Linked DNA regions of Drosophila melanogaster. The protein of the gene in region 4 interacts with the protein of the main gene of each other region in a pairwise test. Each region holds a gene or a part of one and is shown on either strand. Other genes may lie near its edges. The genes, in order: B-H2, sofe, amos and ATbp.

Region 1 (4,929 bases), 5.8 Mb from region 4:
AACATTGTATTAAATTGGTCTGACCTTAGTTTTATTTATTGATAATTAAGAAAACAATTATCAATAAGTAAATTACATAAAAAAAATGATAAGTTTATGTTCATATCTATTAATGCTATAATTTATATTACAGGAAAATCAATCTCATGGTTTATTCAGAGGCAATACAAACTGTACCCAATGATCCCGGTCACGTCTTCGTTTTCCTGCTCCAGCCCGATCGTTTGTCAGGTCGTAAATGCTTGGGATATATCTATGATTACGATACTCTATTCCTGGAAACGTTTGGCGACAGGAACTCGGATACATACCAATGGCCAGTAATACCCGACAATTGCTGCCGTGAGGCCATTTTGAAAAGCTAACTATACAATAAACATGTGGCAGCGGGAGCATCCGCCTCCAGGCGCCAAAGACTGCCTCCTCGAGTAGCTCCTGCCCACCGGAGCACGCTTGTTAGTCCACAGGAATGAGGTGGTAGGAACCCCCAGTGGTATACAGCCCCCTCTTGGATAGCCACCCCCCCCCTGAGACCCATTCACTTGCACATTAGGCAGCAAATTGACATCGATACAAGAAGTAAACCAGAAGTGAGTGGAAAGAGAGGGCACTATCGCGTGCGACAGAGAGGAAAGCGTGCAGCATTTAACTGCTGCCAATTTACTGTTTAAATGCCAAACAAAAAGTGTTAACAAGCGCAAAAATAACAAAAGACACCAACAACAAAGTACGCAGAGCGAGAGGGCCCGAGGCGAGCCACAGGCGGCCAGCCCTTGGGCCAAAGCGAGACAGACAGATGTCGTGCCGGCTGCCTCTCGCTCGCACAAACCAGTTTAAGGGGGCGTGGCCTGGCCACAAAACAGGGTTGACAGCATCCCATCCATCCATCTTGCCATCCGGATATCTGTCCATCAGATACAACAGCAAAAGCAACATTAGAAGCAAAAGCAAAGGCGGCAGCTGCCCTGCTGCCATAATCGTGTTGAGTTTCAAGCTGCCATAAAAAGTTTATGGGAAGTCGTATTGAACAGGGAAACCTTCTAAAACAGTATGATTTTGCTACTGCTGGAGGCATATTGCATAAATGTTCTGTCATTCCTGTACAAACTATATTTAGTTGGAAAGTTAGATAACAAGTTATTAGTATATTAAAGATGCATGGCTACATATTTTTTAATAATACTCGCTATTATAATAAAAGTTTACCATTAACACTGTTCAAATTTTGTTTGAAAGCAGCTAAAATAATATGAAATAACCAACTGACCCCTAAGACTATATTTAACCCTCAAAGATAACGAACACGTTTTTGTTCAGATTTATAGAAATCAAATAAGTACAAATAACTTTTTATATAAATTGACAAGACTTAATAAACCCTATTTATTTAAGGATATGAAGTTAATTGCAATACTTTTTGTGCGGTTGTAGTTCGAAACAGCCAACTCCACCACGTGCCATAAAAATAACCGTTAGACGTGCGGCCATTGCCGGCGGAAAGTCACCACACCCGCCAACTTGAGTCCCGCTGATTGAAGCCTAATGAATGTCAATTGCTGCCAATTACGACCAATAAGTGCGGGCAATAAATGTGGGCAGCCGTGGGTGCGAGCGAGAGGCAGTCGCGGGGCGACAGAGAGGGAAACTCACCACACCGCCACTTGGCCAGGTCAATGAGCGAAAAAGAGACGACGACAGGTGGCAGCTGATGGGAAGCGGTGGCTCAACTGGTTTTTGCTGCCTTCTTGTTGTTGCTGCTGTTGCCGCTGCTGCTGTTGTTGCTGCTGCTGCTGCCAGTTGCTGTTGCTGGCAGCAAGTTTCAGTTTCGGTCGAAAGCCAAAGGCGAGCGGTTGTTGCTCCGCTATTGAACATCACAAAGTGTGCGCACCTCAGCGACATTTGCGTTAAAAACCCAGTTGGGCCAAGAAAACATTAACCAACGCAAGAGCAATCGAAAGCGGAGTTCAAGAACTTGTCAAGTTTAAGAAATAAGTGCGAGCAGCTACCAACAATTAACTGAAGAAGTGCTAAAAACTCGCGTCACCCATACATACATACATAGCTGTTTGTTTTTTTTCGGTGCAAAGTGCAGGTGCAGCAGCGGAGTCGTCGGCTAACCACACATGACCACAATGCCACCGGAAATGTCCGCAACAACGGCAGCTCCCGTTGGCAGTGCACCGAGTGCCACCGCTCATCATCCCGCTGCCGTCGGCGGCGGTATGCCGCGTCCAGCTTCCCCGGCCGTCGGCAGCAACACGACGACAGCCACGGCCACAACGGCGACGCGATCCCGCTTTATGATCACCGATATTTTGGCAGGAGCCGCGGCCGCATCGGCGGCGGCAGCAGCAGCGGCGGCCGCCTTGGCAGCCGCCTCTTCCGGCGGTGGGCGTGGCAGTCCGACGGACTCGGAGCGGGAGCAATCGCTGGTCGCCCAGCATCACCACCATCACCAGCAGCAGCAACAACACCATCATCACCAGCAGCAGCAGCAGCAGCAGCAACATCAGCAGGCTGCCCTGCAACAGTACATCGTGCAACAGCAGCAGTTGCTGCGCTTTGAACGGGAAAGGGAGAGGGAGCGGGAGCGGGAACACTATAGGGAGAGACATTCGCCGCCTGGCAACAATCCCTATGCCCACCACCCCATGCCGCCCCATCTGCTCGCCCACTTTCCGCCCGCCCACTACGCCGTGCTGCAGCAGCAGCAACAGCAACAGCAGCAACAGCAACATCCCCACCCGCATCATCTGCAGCTTGAGAGGGAACGATTGGAGGCACTGCATCGGCATGGCCACGGGCTGACCGGTGATCCTGCCCAGCACTTGAGCCACTTAAGCCACCTGAGCCACCAGCAGCACCATCCGCATCTGCATCATCCCATGCACGATGAGCGATCCCGGTCACCGCTGATGCTGCAACAATTGGGCGGTAACGGTGGCAATAACAACAACAATAACAACAACAGCAGCAGTGCCAGTAACAACAACAACAACAACAACAACAGTGCTAGTGCCAACAGCAACATCATCAGCGGCAACAGCAGCAGCAGCAACAACAACAATGGCAGTGGCAACGGCAACATGTTGCTCGGAGGACCCGGCAGCAGCATTAGCGGCGATCAAGCCAGCACAATCGACGACAGCGACAGCGATGATTGCGGTAAGTCGCTGATCATATATCATAAACATACAATGAATCTGTATAGCAATATGGTTTAAGCTGTATTTCAAGGATAAGGCTACATCGGGAATATATAAAGTATATATATATATATATAGCAGAAATAATTAAGTTGCTAACTAAAGGAAGAGACTAGTTCATGAGACAGACATACAGATTCAGATGGATCTTGAAGAATAGCACCAAGTGCGGAATATATGTATATGTATATAGACACTTTATTGCAATATCAAGTAATATGAGAAGAGCAAAGCGGGGATACATATAGAGAATATATATATATATATATATAGCAATATGATATTTGTGATATTTCAGGGACTGGACTGGATGGGAAAGTGAAATCTAATGAACAACTGATATTCAAAATAGCAAGAAAAAAGAAAGACAAGATATAATGCGAGATATAAATGTTTCAAAATACCAATCAAGGCTTTTTTATACGTGTTCCTGACGTACAAATTAAAAGCAATCAAAATCTAGCTAATATATATGTATTTAAGCTCTAGTAAATTTGCATAGAATATTAAAGGAAATAAAGGAAGCTAGTAATTATAGTATACAAATTGCCATTAAAACCAGTTCTATTTATAAACTTTACCAAAGTTCAGCTGTATTAGCTATTTTATTAAACGAAAAGGGCTTTTATGGCTATAGAGAATAGAAATTATTTCATAGTATGCACACCAATAAATGTTAGCTGATAAATTTGATTCGGTTGGTATTAATTTGAAACCCAAACGGTGGACTTTTGTTTATACACTGAAGGGGATCTCGAAACCAATTTACACCTATCCATCTGACCCCTGAGTTCGCACCACTTTAAATTTACGATTTTCCCCGCGACCGGGATATATCATATATTGAGTGCTAAGCGTGGTTGTTTTTCCTGTTGTCTTTGTCGTTTTTGTTGTGGCTGTTGGCTAATAGATAACGGCCAACAACAACCGCACCAACAACCACCGTAAATTGTGCGGCTCGAACGGGGAAAATGCTGGCTTGATAGGCGAAGACTCGAAAAATACAGGTGAGTTCGAGTCTGAGGCAGGTGTCTTAGGTTTTGTCTCTCACTCTCTCTTTCTTCCTCTACCTGTATATGTCTCTCTTTCTGTTTTTTCCTTTTCAATCCCCCCCCCCCCCCCTCAACTTATTGGCCAGATTAGCCAAGTGTTCGCTTATTTTCAACATATTTCCCAGTCAAAACTGTCAACAGAATACCCTTGACTGCCACGCCCCCCGCGTGCCGTCAACCTTGTTTTGCATGCAACAATCTAATTGATTTTGTTGCCTAGCTTTAGTTTTGCTTTTTTCCTCTCGTTAAGTGCTTTTAAACGATATGCAAATTATAACAAATTACTATTAAATAGCCGTAATCGTGCGTTTGCAATTGATTTGCAGTAATATAATTTAGAAAGGCCGAGAACGTGCACAAATATATATGTATGTATTTGAAAGAGCATGGAAATCAGAACAAAAGGTCAGAATGTTGAGTTTGCTACAAAAGATGTGTGTGTGTTTTTATTATAGATTTTTTACGAAATCCCAAAGGATGATAAAAATGAGTTTCCACTATTTTTGGATAACTAAAATGCCGAGTAATTTTAGTTATTTTAATAATTGCCCGGTCTCAATTCAGTTTTTTTTTTGTTAACGAGAAATTATAAGCCCCTAAGCAATTTTGTTTCAATCAAAGCTTCCCCAATTTCATGGACAATTTTCACATTTATATGTGTTTTTTGACTT
Region 2 (4,858 bases), about 12 Mb from region 4:
TTGACAAGGAAGACTACCCCTCCCGTTGCACCCACCTCCATGGCCGTGGAGTCGCCGCTGCTGGTGCTGGTAGGGCGACATGTGTGCGTGCTCTTGCTGCTGCCTCAGATTGTTGTCAGATCGCTCGCTGGCCGTCTTGTAGTTGGTGCGCTCCTCGCGCTCTTCGTCGTCCTCTCGCGGATCTGAAATCACAGAGGCTGAGCTGGCGCTGGGCAGGCTCTCTTGGGATGAGGCCAGTAGCGAGCACAAGCCCAGTCCTCGTTCAGCCTCACTCTGACTGCCAGCGTTCTCAGCTTGTTCCTCGCTGTTGCCATTATTCTGAGTCGCCTCCTTTTCGGCGCAATCAGCTGGAGGCGCCTCCTCCTTAGCTTGCTGTTGTGGGGATTCCGAGCGACTGGCTGACACCAGTTCCTTCGCTGGCTCAGCTGCCACAGCCGCGTGGGCTGTGTCAACATGTTTCTCCACCTGAGCGACTAGAGGTTTCGCAGGAACAGGATCCGGAGCAGGAGATGAAGCTAGCTCTGGTTGCGCCCTTAAAGTTGGTGCTACCTCTGCGGTGGCCGTGGCTGCAACAGTGACTTCAGTCGCTGCAGTCGCATCTGCCTGCAATTGCTCCTTGTGCTTGCGCTCGTGCTGTCTAATCTGCTCCTGGGCCCACTCCTCGGCCTCGGCGCGCATCTGCTGCTTCACCTCGCTGGTGACATCCTTTTCGAGCTCTGTGCATGGAAGAAGGATATCCATCAGAAAACGATTCAACTATTGCAGTGCATATAGAACTCACCTTCGTCCGAGAGTAGCAACTCATCCTCATCGGCGCCGAGCAGAGCTTGGTCATCGATGTCATCGCCCAGCTCGTAGTTGAGCAGGTCATCGCTGCGGATGAGATGCAGTTAAGAAATCATTAATGGGTTAAGGAGAAAACCAAGGTGAGACTTTTCTATCCTTCGAGGTTCCATTGAAAAAAAAAAATATAATAACCACACGCACTCAAACACATACACAAGCACAGCCGGGGGGGCATTCACACACATTCGCACACATACGTACACACCTACGCAGCTTGAAAATGTTATACACATGCATCGCCAACCCCCCCGCCCCGACAATGCTTTTTGCATGCGATTTTCTCAGTGCCACCAATCGAACGCTGGCCAGGATTGTTGCCCAATCTTAGGTGGCCACCATTCATCACAGGGTCACCCACTTTTTCGCACCCACCACTTACTTAATGTCCGACATTTTTTCGCCAGGGCAGCTGTTGACACTCGGCGGCGCGCGTGTGTGGGTGTGTGTTTTAAAGTAGAACAGGGACTGTCTACGGACGCGGCGCGGTGTTTTATAACATTTTGAACAGCCGTTTTGCGATCGAATCGATCTGAGCAGTAACGCGCGCTTTTCCACTGAATAAGTAGGCACCCGAAAGGTATGCGAAAAGTTCGGGTCTTTTTCACACGCAGTATTTTTTTTGAGGGATGCAATTGGTATTAGTGGTGGCAAGTACAGCGATAGGTATGCGTTGCTATCGGTATATATCGATATCAATTTATACTACTTACCATACCATTGGTACTAACATTTACCATATTAGACACGGTAAAACAATTATTTTCTTATAACGCATTATACGCAATAGAAAGTGAGTAGCAGAAATATACTCACTCACTATATATATATTTGATCTCCAATGCTTACCGATGTGGCAATGCTGTCGCCTAACAGCACCAATTGGCCAGTGTTGCAGAGCGCACGAGTTTGATGTACAGTTTGAAATTTACCGATTTAAACATAGCAACATTGCGTCCATACGTTCTGATTCGAATTGAATTTCATGTTTACTTACATCCAACCACACACGAGAACACGACACAGAAACAAACAAAATAAACACAATGCTATCTAGCGAACACAAAGCAAGGATACTAGCGCTGACGGCCGAGCACTTCGACGAGCTGCACGCAATGTGGTCGCGAATGTTTGAGCCGCAAGCCTGCGAGGATTGTCTCGCCCGTCTTAAGGATCACGTACACACATTCTACACGGATCTCCGCAAGGAGACGAGCGACAAGGAGCAGGGTATACTCAACGACATAGCCGTTTTGCGCAACGAGGCCAGCGGGCTAAGGCGGCTGCTTCACAAAGCGGTGGACATTGGCGAGCGGCCGGACGATGTGCCGATGGAGATCTGGTACATTAAGCTGGAGAAATACATCGAACAACTGCGCAAAGAGCTGGTCAGCCGACGGGCAGAGATCAGGGAGCTACTCCATCAACAGCAGCAGCTCTGCGATGAGCTGGGCGAACAGCCGCTTTCACTTCTAGCTGATCCCCTGCCGCTGCCCGAGGAGATGGACCCCTTTCGGGAGCACCTAGCCCAGCTGCGCGATCAGCGAGTGCAGCGCCTCAGGGATATGGACGAGCTGCGCCAGAACATCAAACGAAACATAAAACTACTCGAACTTCAATTGCGAACGGACTCGGAAAAGCGGTTACTCAATGCGGATAACCATAAGCTTACTCCCTACGCCTACGTGCGCCTGCAAGAAATGGACAAAGAGTTCGCCGACCAGGTGCAGGATCTAATCGACCGCATCGACGAGATGCGCGGCAAGATTGAATGCCTCTGGCAGCGGCTCAGGATGACCGACGAATACGCCATGCGTCGTGTGCGCGAAGCCACGTCCTATAACCAGTGCACCTACGACATATTGCGCGAGGAGCTGGAGCGCTGCCAGGCGATGCGGCAGCAGAATCTGATTGCCTTCATCGAGCAGCTGCGCATTGAGATCAACGAGTGGTGGGATCTTTCACTGAAAAGCACCGAGGAGCGCAGGCGCTTCACCACCTACTACTGTGATACGCAGACCGAAGATGTTCTCGAGCAGTTCGAGAAGGAGCTGGACAACCTTAAGGAGTTCTACAACAGCAACAGGAAGATATTTGAGCTATACGCGAATCGAGGCGAGCTATGGACGCGCATGGAGGCCCTGGAGGCCAAGGCCAACGATCCAAATCGGTTCAACAATCGCGGTGGACAGCTGCTCAAGGAGGAGAAGGAGCGCAAGACTATCATGTCCCGTCTGCCCAAGATCGATCAACAAATCACCGAACTGGTGCAGGTCTACATGAGTGAAACGCACACGCCGTTCCTGGTGCACGGCGTGGATATACTGGAGCGCATGTCGGCGGACTGGGAGCGGCATCGACAGTCCAAAAAGCAGCCCTCCGCCCAGAAGAAGGATGGCAGCAATACGAGCGGCCAAATGAAGCCGCCAATGGTGCCTCTTACGCCCAATACGCAGAAGAGCAACCGGGGCATCCATGGATCCACATCCTCGTTGAAGAAGACGCCGACCAAGGCAAATGCCAGCACCACGGCAATGAGCACAGGGAATCTGCACAAGAGACGGCATCCACAGCATCACAACACCAATAGTCCACAGCCGGCAGCAGCGGCCAAGCGAAATCTAATCGCATCGCTGGAGTGCAACAATGCAAGTCGCAAGGTCTGTGTGAATGGGCAGAAGCTGCTCAAGTCGCCGCAGAGGAAGGTGCGCGTGCTGGAATACTCGGTGCGTCGGGGCAAGGGATCCGGCAGGCCGAGCACAGGGAGCAGGAATCCCCAGAAAATTCGTCCCATACCAAAAATCCATGTGCGTCCGCCGTCCGGCGAGGAGAACGAGAGTCCCGACGAGGAGGCGGTCGTGGCCATATAATGGAGCTAGACTCTAATCACATCCAATGGCAATCATTTCGGCAACTGATCTGTGTTCTATATCTATTACCTGTACTGAAGTATTTGGCTCGCAATTGCAGACTCATCGTATTTATATGTATACACATATGTATAGTGTTAGGGCTTTTCCTAGCGCAAAGACTATCTAAATTTACAACTTTAAAATTCTTTTAACTATTTTGCACTACCTGTGACGGCAAGAAGTAAATGAACAATTGTCCACATTTTAAATTTTTAGTCAGATAAAAACGCTTGTTTACATTATAAATTACTTGATTTCAATTTTACCAAAATATACATGTGTGGGAAGGGTTTTCTAAAGTCTGTGGGATGTTTACTAAGCGCATATAAGAGAATATAATACGTTTTTAAGGAGCAAAATAATTAAAATAGATATTTTAATTTGCTAATAAACCAAATAACGAATTTTAAATATTCAAAAAAGTGGCGTATGCTCCAGCCCTGGTTTTACCAGAAGTTACCGCCGCGTGGCAATGCTGTCCCACAACGCGGTGGCAACACTCTTGGCCGCCATTTCAATTTGAATTTACCGAAATTTCTGTCTAGCGTCATCGATTCATTCAGTTCGAAATTTCGTGCAGTGATGCACTCTAAATAAACCACTAAATAAATCCGCACATTCCCGAGCAATCCTGCCCAGCGTTGTGGGTCTGCGACACAACTGTCAAGTTAACTCAGATATGCTGGTTAAATAGTCCCCAAGTGAACACAACGAAAAAACAAAGCCAGTGAGCATTTACGCAAGAAAAGAAATTTTGAACAAAAAAAAAAAAACACAAATTTCACAACGAAAACGGAGAAAATGAACTCGCCGAGCGCCATTGCGGTGAAGGCCCAGATCCTGGAGATGACGGGCGAGCACGTGGATCAGTTGCACGCGATGTGGTCGCAGTTGTTCGAGGTCAAGACCTGCGGTGAGTTCCTCCTCCGGTTGAAGGACCATGCGAACAGCTTCTTCACGGATTTGCTCAATGAGTCGCGCGAAAAGCAGCAGGCGATCCTCAACGATATAGCCGCCTTGCGGGCAGAGGCCACCGACTTGACGCGCCTACTCCACGAGCCGCTGGACATTGGCGAGCGGCCGGAGTCCATGCCGCTGGTCGT
Region 3 (3,262 bases), on a different chromosome or scaffold from region 4:
TATGTTTAAATCAATTTTCGTCTAATCTTCGAAGGATCTAAGGTAGCGACTGTGTTTATCCTCAGTGTGTTTACCTGTTGACGTTTGCGGCATTTAATCACTTCTGTTTTGGAGTTCCATCACTTTGAGTCGGAAGCGGAACTCATTAATTCTCGGTTTGTTACTGATGTTATGACCTTTCGTTTTGGTTCGTGGGCGTGGCGCACTGCCTAGCTTGCCATGCCGCTCTCATCTTTCAAGGATAACAAGGATACCCTTTTTCGGGCTGAGATGAAAGCGTGGCGAATAAAAACAAATGTGGAGGCATCAGTTGGATTGATAAATGGAGTTTTTACATATATTTATGTAAATTAATAAGTCTGATAAGTTATTTACATTTCAGTACCTATAAACTTCCTATCTTTTTTTTAAATATTTATTGGATTTTTCCCTTTTTCTCTCTAAAAATATCTGCTCTAAATTCTGTATATGTACCAGCAAAAAATGCAAAGATACAATTCAAACAAAATATAAATTTCCAAGTTCGCACAACATTATTTTCATTCCAACTCCACCATTTCATACGATATGAATTTAAAACAATATAATTGATTTGTATTTTCATTTTTATTATAAAACTATTGCTTGAATTGTGTACAACTATGATAATAAACGTAAAACTAACAGCCTTTATAAGATTTCCACTAGGATATGAAGGTGTTGCTGCAACACAGCCCGCAAAAGGAACTTCCATTTGAGGAAGAAAGGATAAAGGATCGCCCACACTGGCTAGTAGTCTCTGGACAGCAACGTGACCAGATCCCCGATGTATGCTTGCGCCATTTGCAGAGTTTCGTATTTGGAGAGTCGCCGATCGTGGCCGAGTGATGGAACCACATCTCTCAACTTGTCGAAGGCATCGTTCAGGCTGTTCATCCGCCTCCGTTCCCGAGCATTGGCGGCCAGTCGCCGTTTTTTGAGGACTTCGCCACCGAATCCCGCGGACGATGAACTGCTCGAAGAGGCGGAGGATGTAGATGATGACATGGAAGTGGACAGCTTGTCGTATGGCTTGCTCCTCTGCTGCTTGTTCCAGTACCTTGGACTTCTGCCCTGATTCTTGCCCAAGGGATTCGCTTGAAGGTGGTGCTGCTGCTGCTCCTGGGCATTCAGCATGTGCTCCAATTCCAGGACAGACGGCGTATCGTAATACATCTCCAAGGAGCAACTGTTGGCGCCATCCGACTGGCTGTCGCTGGTGCTGAACTCCTGCTGGTACATGAGCTGCTCCAACTGCTGGAAGGTGTCGTTGCTCAGGAACTCGGGAATCGCTGGGGCTTCGTCGGGGAAGTAGAACTGCTCCATTAGCTCGTTGTTGGTCAACATGTTTACGTTTGCAGGCTCAAGGGACAACTGAAGTGGCTGCTTGAGGATGGGTCTTTATATAGCTGCCTGCCGAGGATTCAGCTCTCACGTGATTGGTTCACTACATATGTCCTGTTACCTGATTCGCTGCCTCAAGCTGATCCGATCCGCTCAGGTACCCGATTGCCAACCTCTTGAGGATCAGCAGCACAGCCCGTGCCCTAAATTGGCTTGCGGTCAAGACGTTTAATTGTCTCTGGCTGCAACTCTCTCCCTCTTTCTCCCAGGTATTTACTGTATCAGCTACAGGTCGACTCCTTTTGTTTGACCTGTCATTTGGCTACCGTCTGTAATCATACCTCTTTTGTTACTTGCCCTGGAATTGACTTTTTATATTCAAACAAAATTTAGCCAAGGTCAAAATGCGAACGCACAAAAGACTCTTGTCATATGGGAATATTTTCCACAATGTGTGCCTCCATCGAAGATCGCCATGGATCATCTTGGTTGCATGTCTGTGGTCTAGTGAGTGGAGTGCTCGACTGGTTGGATGCAAACCCCATTTTTCGGACAGAACAAAGAGCAACAATTGTGCTTGTGCGGTTTGTGACTTTCGATTTTAGGCGGTTGTACTTACTTTATTGGGTCAAATTTAAGTGGGTGTATTAATAGTGGCTTTCTCCTGCTTTCAATGGCCAAATTACAGGACGTCGAGAAGTTCGAAATTCAAAAAAGCATGAAGAAATCAAAGCAAGTATCACATTATTATTATTTATTATTATTTTCATATTAAGGGATTTGAAATGTGCTATATTAACGCCTTTACTGAAGAGTTACTTTTCCGATAATAAAACTACACTACTTTAACATGCTGAAACCATTCGATGGGTCCTTCGAAACTCTGGTGCAATATGTTGCACCCTCACATTATATACTTTCATTCGTATGCTCTGGTTTCCACAGTCATCTTGGGATCAAGCCCACTTTCAAGTGACCGCATCGAAAGGCTAATTAACTCCACAGACTCGCAGCATTAGAGGGAAAATCAATTCGAGGAGTTCGCTGAATTTCTAAGGAAACTGGGCAAAACAATTGGAAAACACTGGCCGAGAAGCGCCGAGCATGGCTAAAGAGTACAAATGATGCCACTGCAAGATGGCCCAGTTACTTCGCCCAAATTGTCAAGGAACAAAGTCCCGAGCCGACAAAGGATCCTGACGTTTGATCTTGACGATGATGATGATAGCTGATGGATCGATCGATCGCTCGATCGGTTCACTTTGTTAAGAGTGCCACGCGACCGCAGCTTAGTCGAAATCCTGGCCCAGATTAGGCATTATGCTGCAATATTTTCGGGAGAAAGGTTCGCGGATAACCTAAAGATCTGCAACGCCTTCGAAAAGAGGTTCTGGAATTTCCAATTAGCATTTTTCTGCGCTACCTGGGACCTCGATCCTGTCAAAATAGCAACAATAGGTAGTCGGTTGGTGGGCGGTTCTGGTTGAAAGTGGGAACCTCTCTCCGCACTCCATCCATATCCATGCCCGTTTGTTTCTTTTCTTCTGACCAACAATAGGTCACCTGATGATAATCTCGGATACGTCTGGCAGTTGCGTGTTTTTGGGTTTTCCCTGCCAGATTAATCGTTTTCGCTTTGCGGATTAGTTGTTGGCGCTAAATTGCGAAAATGAGATTAGAAGTCAGAGTCCCGGAGTCACCAGGAATTCCATGGGAATCTCTTCTCGCCCGACACTTGTTGATTCCACTCTTTGTATTGCAATGCCTGACAATGGATCTTTGTTTTTTGGTCCCATTGTTGGTCTGAAATGGATCAGACCTAACTTCATTGTCCTGAGCATAATTACCATGTAATAATCTGGAATTATGAATTATTATATACAAAGATTTGTTTGTTTCC
Region 4 (4,718 bases):
GTTGGTTATATACATTTATTTATATATTTAAGTATGTCCTGTGTGTTAAAGTTTTCAATAGTTGTAAGTGGATGGCTTGTTGCGGTTCTTGCTTGGCTGTCAGCGAGTTCATTTCCTGGTGTTCTTAATAATGCAGAATTTTGCTCTTTTATTTTTATGAGTTCTTAGGGCCTCAATAATGGCTAGTATGATGTGCCGTTTGATAAGTTAAATTTCGTAGTTAATAGCGAAGCTGGTAATTTTGTTTGTTTGAGATCCATCTGTGTAAATGTAGGTCTAGGAAAGATCGTTAGTTTGCTTATTATTTAATATTTTCCTTATCAATTTTGGGGTCGTGTTGTTTTTGTTGAACTTATTGTGTGTTGTGTCGATTTTAGAAAGATTGGTGTTTCAGGGAGGTGAGGTTTGGGGGCATATATTACCCGTTACTCGCAGAGTAAAAGGGTATACTAGATTCGTTGAGAAGTATGAACCGGCGGAAGGAAGCGTTTTCGACCATATAATATATATATATTCTTGATCAGGATCAATAGCCGAGTCGATCTATCCATGCCAGTCTATCGGTCTGTACGTAGGGAAATGCAAAGACAAAACAAAATGTGAAAATATATCGCACATACCTAAGTATGTAGTTATGTAAATACACATACATATATACATATATTTCACATTTTACATAGCCACATATGAATATACATATGTGTTTTCGGGTAGGGTATCATTTTAAAAGTGTCTGTCTTGCGTTACTTACATTTTTTCAATAACAAGTACTCAATACTTTTGCTTTTGGATTGTATTTTCTCCACTGTACATTTGTATAACAAAATCCATAATATTATCTTTTAAGCTACGCATTAAGGTAATTTCAGAAGGAAATGAACGATTCCTAGTGACTTCAATATTATTGAATAATAATTGATTTTTCCAAAAAAAAGATTGTATTCAAATATATTTCGGTATTGTTATATATTCATACATAAATTCATTTATACACATAACGGAAAATTAAAAAACATCGATTAGTTCGTAATCAAAGCACATTAAATCAATGCTTAACAATAATCAGGACACACTATGTAGTACGTTATTTAAAAAATTATTAACATAATGCTTGTGTTCTAACTAAATAACCGACTGACCCTTTCAGGAGTAAGGGAGAACTCTTCATTCTGATAATGAAAATGCGAGAAAGATGGAGCTATTCAAACAGCAAAACATTGATACGGACAAGTCCAGTTCGACTCTACTAGTTTTCCTGATCAAGAATATATGTATATACATTAAAGGGTCGGTAACGCTTCCTTTTACCTGTTAAATACTTTTCAAGGAATTTAATATACGCCTCCACCATACGAGGGCATGAAAATCATTTTTGGTACTTCACAACATTTTTAAAATTGTAAAAGGCTTAAAGATTCCATACAACAGTTATTTAATATCGATAGAAAATTCGCGATTCTGGACTTTTATTTAGAAGTTTTTACCTTATCGATATATCGATAGAAGATATTTAAAATGCTATAAAAGTATTTTGGTTCTTCCAATGTCTAACGCTTTTTTTGAGTGTCCTGTTGAGGAAACCAATGTTTTTTAAGATTTTTTCCCAAAGCTTCACATGCGTTTTATCGTTTGTAAATATAATTCCTAATTAAAGTTTTTTTTATGGACCACTGATATGTAGTTCTTTACCATCAATGCGATAGCTGCGTTCAAGTTCGACACTAAATAAGGCCGATGATTAATCGATACTATCGACAGTGCCCATTCGGCCGATAGCTAAACAAAAACAAAAAAAAAATAAACATAAACAAACAACAGCACAAGGACCGGACCTAGTCAAACAAAACAACGCCATGGGTTTTCCGCGCATCCTCAGCAAGAACAACAAGATCTACACCAAGCTGGGCGAGTTCTGTTTGTCGGGGGATAGCTTCTGGATTGTTTGTCACACGTGCCAAGAGGAGTTGCAGACACAGGATCAGTTCTGGAAGCACATACAGGATGAGCATAATTTCATGCACGGGGTGGCAAAGGTATGCTTTATGTGGTTTTTTTTTGGCGGAGGGTTTATAACCCTTGGTCTCTTTACACAGGAACACAGTCGTACATCCAGCTACTGCCTAACGGATGTGGAGGCTGCGGCGGCAGCAGCAACGCCAGGAAGCAGCTCCCAGCAAGGCGCCACAGCGATCAGTGTGCCTCTGGCACTTTACACCTGCTCAACCAAGTATTCTGAGGAGGAGCAGCGGGAGGTGGAAATGCACGAACAGCAGGTGCAACACCAAGTGCAACAGCAGCAAGCGCAGCAGCAGCAAGCGCAGCAGCAACAACACCAACAGTCTCAGCAGCAAGGGCACCAGCAACACCAGGTTCAACAACAGCAGACCCACCAGCAGCTCCAACAGCAGCGGGATGTTGCCAAGGAGCTGGCTGAACTCCATGCCAATGCGGTAGCTGCCGCTGCAGCCTCCGCAGCTGTGGTATCCACAGGCGAAGGAACTACCCAAAGTAACAGCGCCATCGACATTAAAATAGAGCCCAGCAGTCTGACACTTACACCCGAAATGCAGGCTGCTGCAGCAGCTGGGGGGACCATTTACCATCTGCCACAGCTAGTTCCACCACCTGTACCGCCTCCACCGCCAGGGTCCGGATTTGTAAGCGTCAGCGCCAGTACCAGCACCTCCAATACGGTCAGCACCACGCCACCCAATGTTCTACAGCAGCAACAGCAACTAAACATGTCTGTCGTTCCTTCGACGGCTATGGCCGCCGCTATGCTAGCCGCCAGTCAGGAACAGCTGCCCAAGGACTCTAACAGCACGACGGCCAGCGCCGGGAGTGCTGTCTCTTCAGATGACGGAGAACGCTGGTACGTCTGCGATTACGAGACTTGTGGTTTGAAGTTTAAGTATAAGTCGAGAATGGAGCTACATCGGGTAGTTCACAGCAAGGAGCGGCGGTTCAATTGCGAACTGTGCAGTGCCTCCTTCAAGCAGTCGTGCAACCTATCAACACACCGGAAGAAAAAGCACGCACTGAGAGGCATCAAAAGCGAGATATTGCCGCAGCGCTTTTAGGCTATACATTAAACAGAGACAGCTCAAAGATTCCCCAATTAACCACATTGCATCTCGAAAAACCCTGTTTGAAAATGTTGACTTAAGTTCAAGGAAATCGCTTGTTTGCCACAAAAAATGTTCATTGTGCTAGGAGCCACAGAAATCTGTTGAATTAGCAAGGTGTGTACAAAAGAGTTCTACATTTTGTCTCTTCCATGATTTCTCTGCCTTTTCTAAGACTCAATAAAGTTATAGACTTTATATTTATATTTATAAATTAAATAATTCTGGATAATTCCGACTGTAAATTAAAATTTAGCACTGCGTCAACATTGTGGCAGGCAAGTGACATATATATGTATATCACATATGTGTATATATATATGCTCTACAAATGAATATATATTGTATATAAATAAATATATAATATAAATATATATAACATGTATGCATATTTAGTATATAAAAATATACAAATATAAACTAATATCTAATGTAGGCTTAGGTTGTCATGTAAATGTAATGTAAATGTTTAGGCAGAGGTATGAAAACCCCCGTTATCTTTTACGCTCTAAGTGTACATGCAATGATGTGTGTAAAGGAGACCAAAATTTAGAAGACGGAATTAAGCCCAACCAAAAAATATGTTGGTGTCTAGACCGTTGTGAGTTTTGTTTTAGAGTAAATTGGTTCACAATGTGTTAAAACCGATTAGTCTCCTTTGAGTAAGTCTTTTACTTTAAGTTGAAATGGATTCTGAGGACAGCGAGATTTCTGGGACATATCTAGTGGTTGCTGAAATAGTGTCAGTTACAGTTTACAAGGTTAGAACAGTTATTTACCTAGATACACAATATTTATGTATATATGGCCATATATACAGCTGCGAAAAATTTAATATTACCACTTGCCCAATCAAGGTTTGAATAAGTCCCAATTTTAGGATTTAAAAAGAGCAAAAATACCTTTTTAGAAAAGTTAAATCATGCACTTATTAGAAAATAAAAAATAATTACATTGTTCTATGAGTTCTTAACTTAATTAGCCACGTCATGAAAAATGCTTAAATATTCAATTTTAAACAGCTGTTCAACGTGTTGGCATGGATTGATTCAGGTCCTGGCACTGTTTAAGGGATATTTAGGTCCAGGACTTCTTAATTACAGCCCAAAGTTTTCCATTGTTAGTTGCTCGAGAAGCTACAACTGCCTTTTTATTATCGTTGAAAGTATGTAACAGGCAGAAAGGAATCCGACCATATAAAGTATATAACTGCTACGCCCACATTTTTGAAAAATTGTTTGATATTTTTTCATAATTTTATTAGTTGTGTAAATTTCTATCGATTTGCCAAAAAACAGTTTTGAACAATTCTTAAATTTTTTCTCATTTTATTCCCCAATATCTATCGATATCATAATAAAATGATAAAATTTCGTGTTCGCATTCACACTAGCTGAGCAACGGGTATCTCTCTTGTTTTTCTTGTATTTTATCCATTGCCCACAAAGTTAACAACCTTGCTCACATCTGACCATAAAATGTTAATGCGCTTGGCTATGTGTCTCCCATTAAAAGGAGGGACTTTCCTTGGACTTCAGTATTTTAAACCATGTTCCCTGAGACATGTTCGAACTGTTTCTGCTATTGCGAATA

What was found.
Region 1: the proteins of ATbp (region 4) and B-H2 interact in a two-hybrid assay, tested with the Drosophila melanogaster proteins (one large-scale study listed by BioGRID).
Region 2: the proteins of ATbp (region 4) and sofe interact in a two-hybrid assay, tested with the Drosophila melanogaster proteins (one large-scale study listed by BioGRID).
Region 3: the proteins of ATbp (region 4) and amos interact in a two-hybrid assay, tested with the Drosophila melanogaster proteins (one large-scale study listed by BioGRID).

Annotation. Positions count from the first base shown.
Region 1 is NC_004354.4:17,312,747-17,317,675, forward strand, and holds the start of B-H2 (BarH2), read left to right. Parts: upstream 1-1,834; 5' UTR 1,835-2,123; coding exon 2,124-3,165; intron 3,166-4,929. UniProt on the Drosophila melanogaster protein: B-H1 and B-H2 are regulated by members of the wg signaling pathway; wg and dpp. B-H1 and B-H2 are coexpressed and functionally required in R1 and R6 receptor cells and primary pigment cells for normal eye development.
Region 2 is NC_004354.4:10,854,303-10,859,160, reverse strand, and holds sofe (sister of feo), read left to right. Parts: upstream 1-1,747; 5' UTR 1,748-1,889; coding exon 1,890-3,713; 3' UTR 3,714-4,161; downstream 4,162-4,858. Other genes in the region: CG2186 (uncharacterized protein), read right to left, coding at 36-716, 782-873, 1,226-1,239; feo (fascetto), read left to right, coding at 4,557-4,858.
Region 3 is NT_033779.5:18,595,542-18,598,803, forward strand, and holds amos (absent MD neurons and olfactory sensilla), read right to left. Parts: upstream 1,381-3,262; 5' UTR 1,366-1,380; coding exon 769-1,365; 3' UTR 595-768; downstream 1-594. UniProt on the Drosophila melanogaster protein: Transcription factor involved in early neurogenesis; sensillum basiconica formation and maybe sensillum trichodea development. Promotes multiple dendritic (MD) neuron formation. Required for olfactory sensilla; regulated by lozenge (lz).
Region 4 is NC_004354.4:23,104,251-23,108,968, forward strand, and holds ATbp ((A+T)-stretch binding protein), read left to right. Parts: upstream 1-1,752; 5' UTR 1,753-1,853; coding exon 1,854-2,033; intron 2,034-2,093; coding exon 2,094-3,080; 3' UTR 3,081-4,081; downstream 4,082-4,718. UniProt on the Drosophila melanogaster protein: May be a transcription factor for genes having (A+T) stretches in their promoter and/or enhancer regions. Binds to AT rich DNA.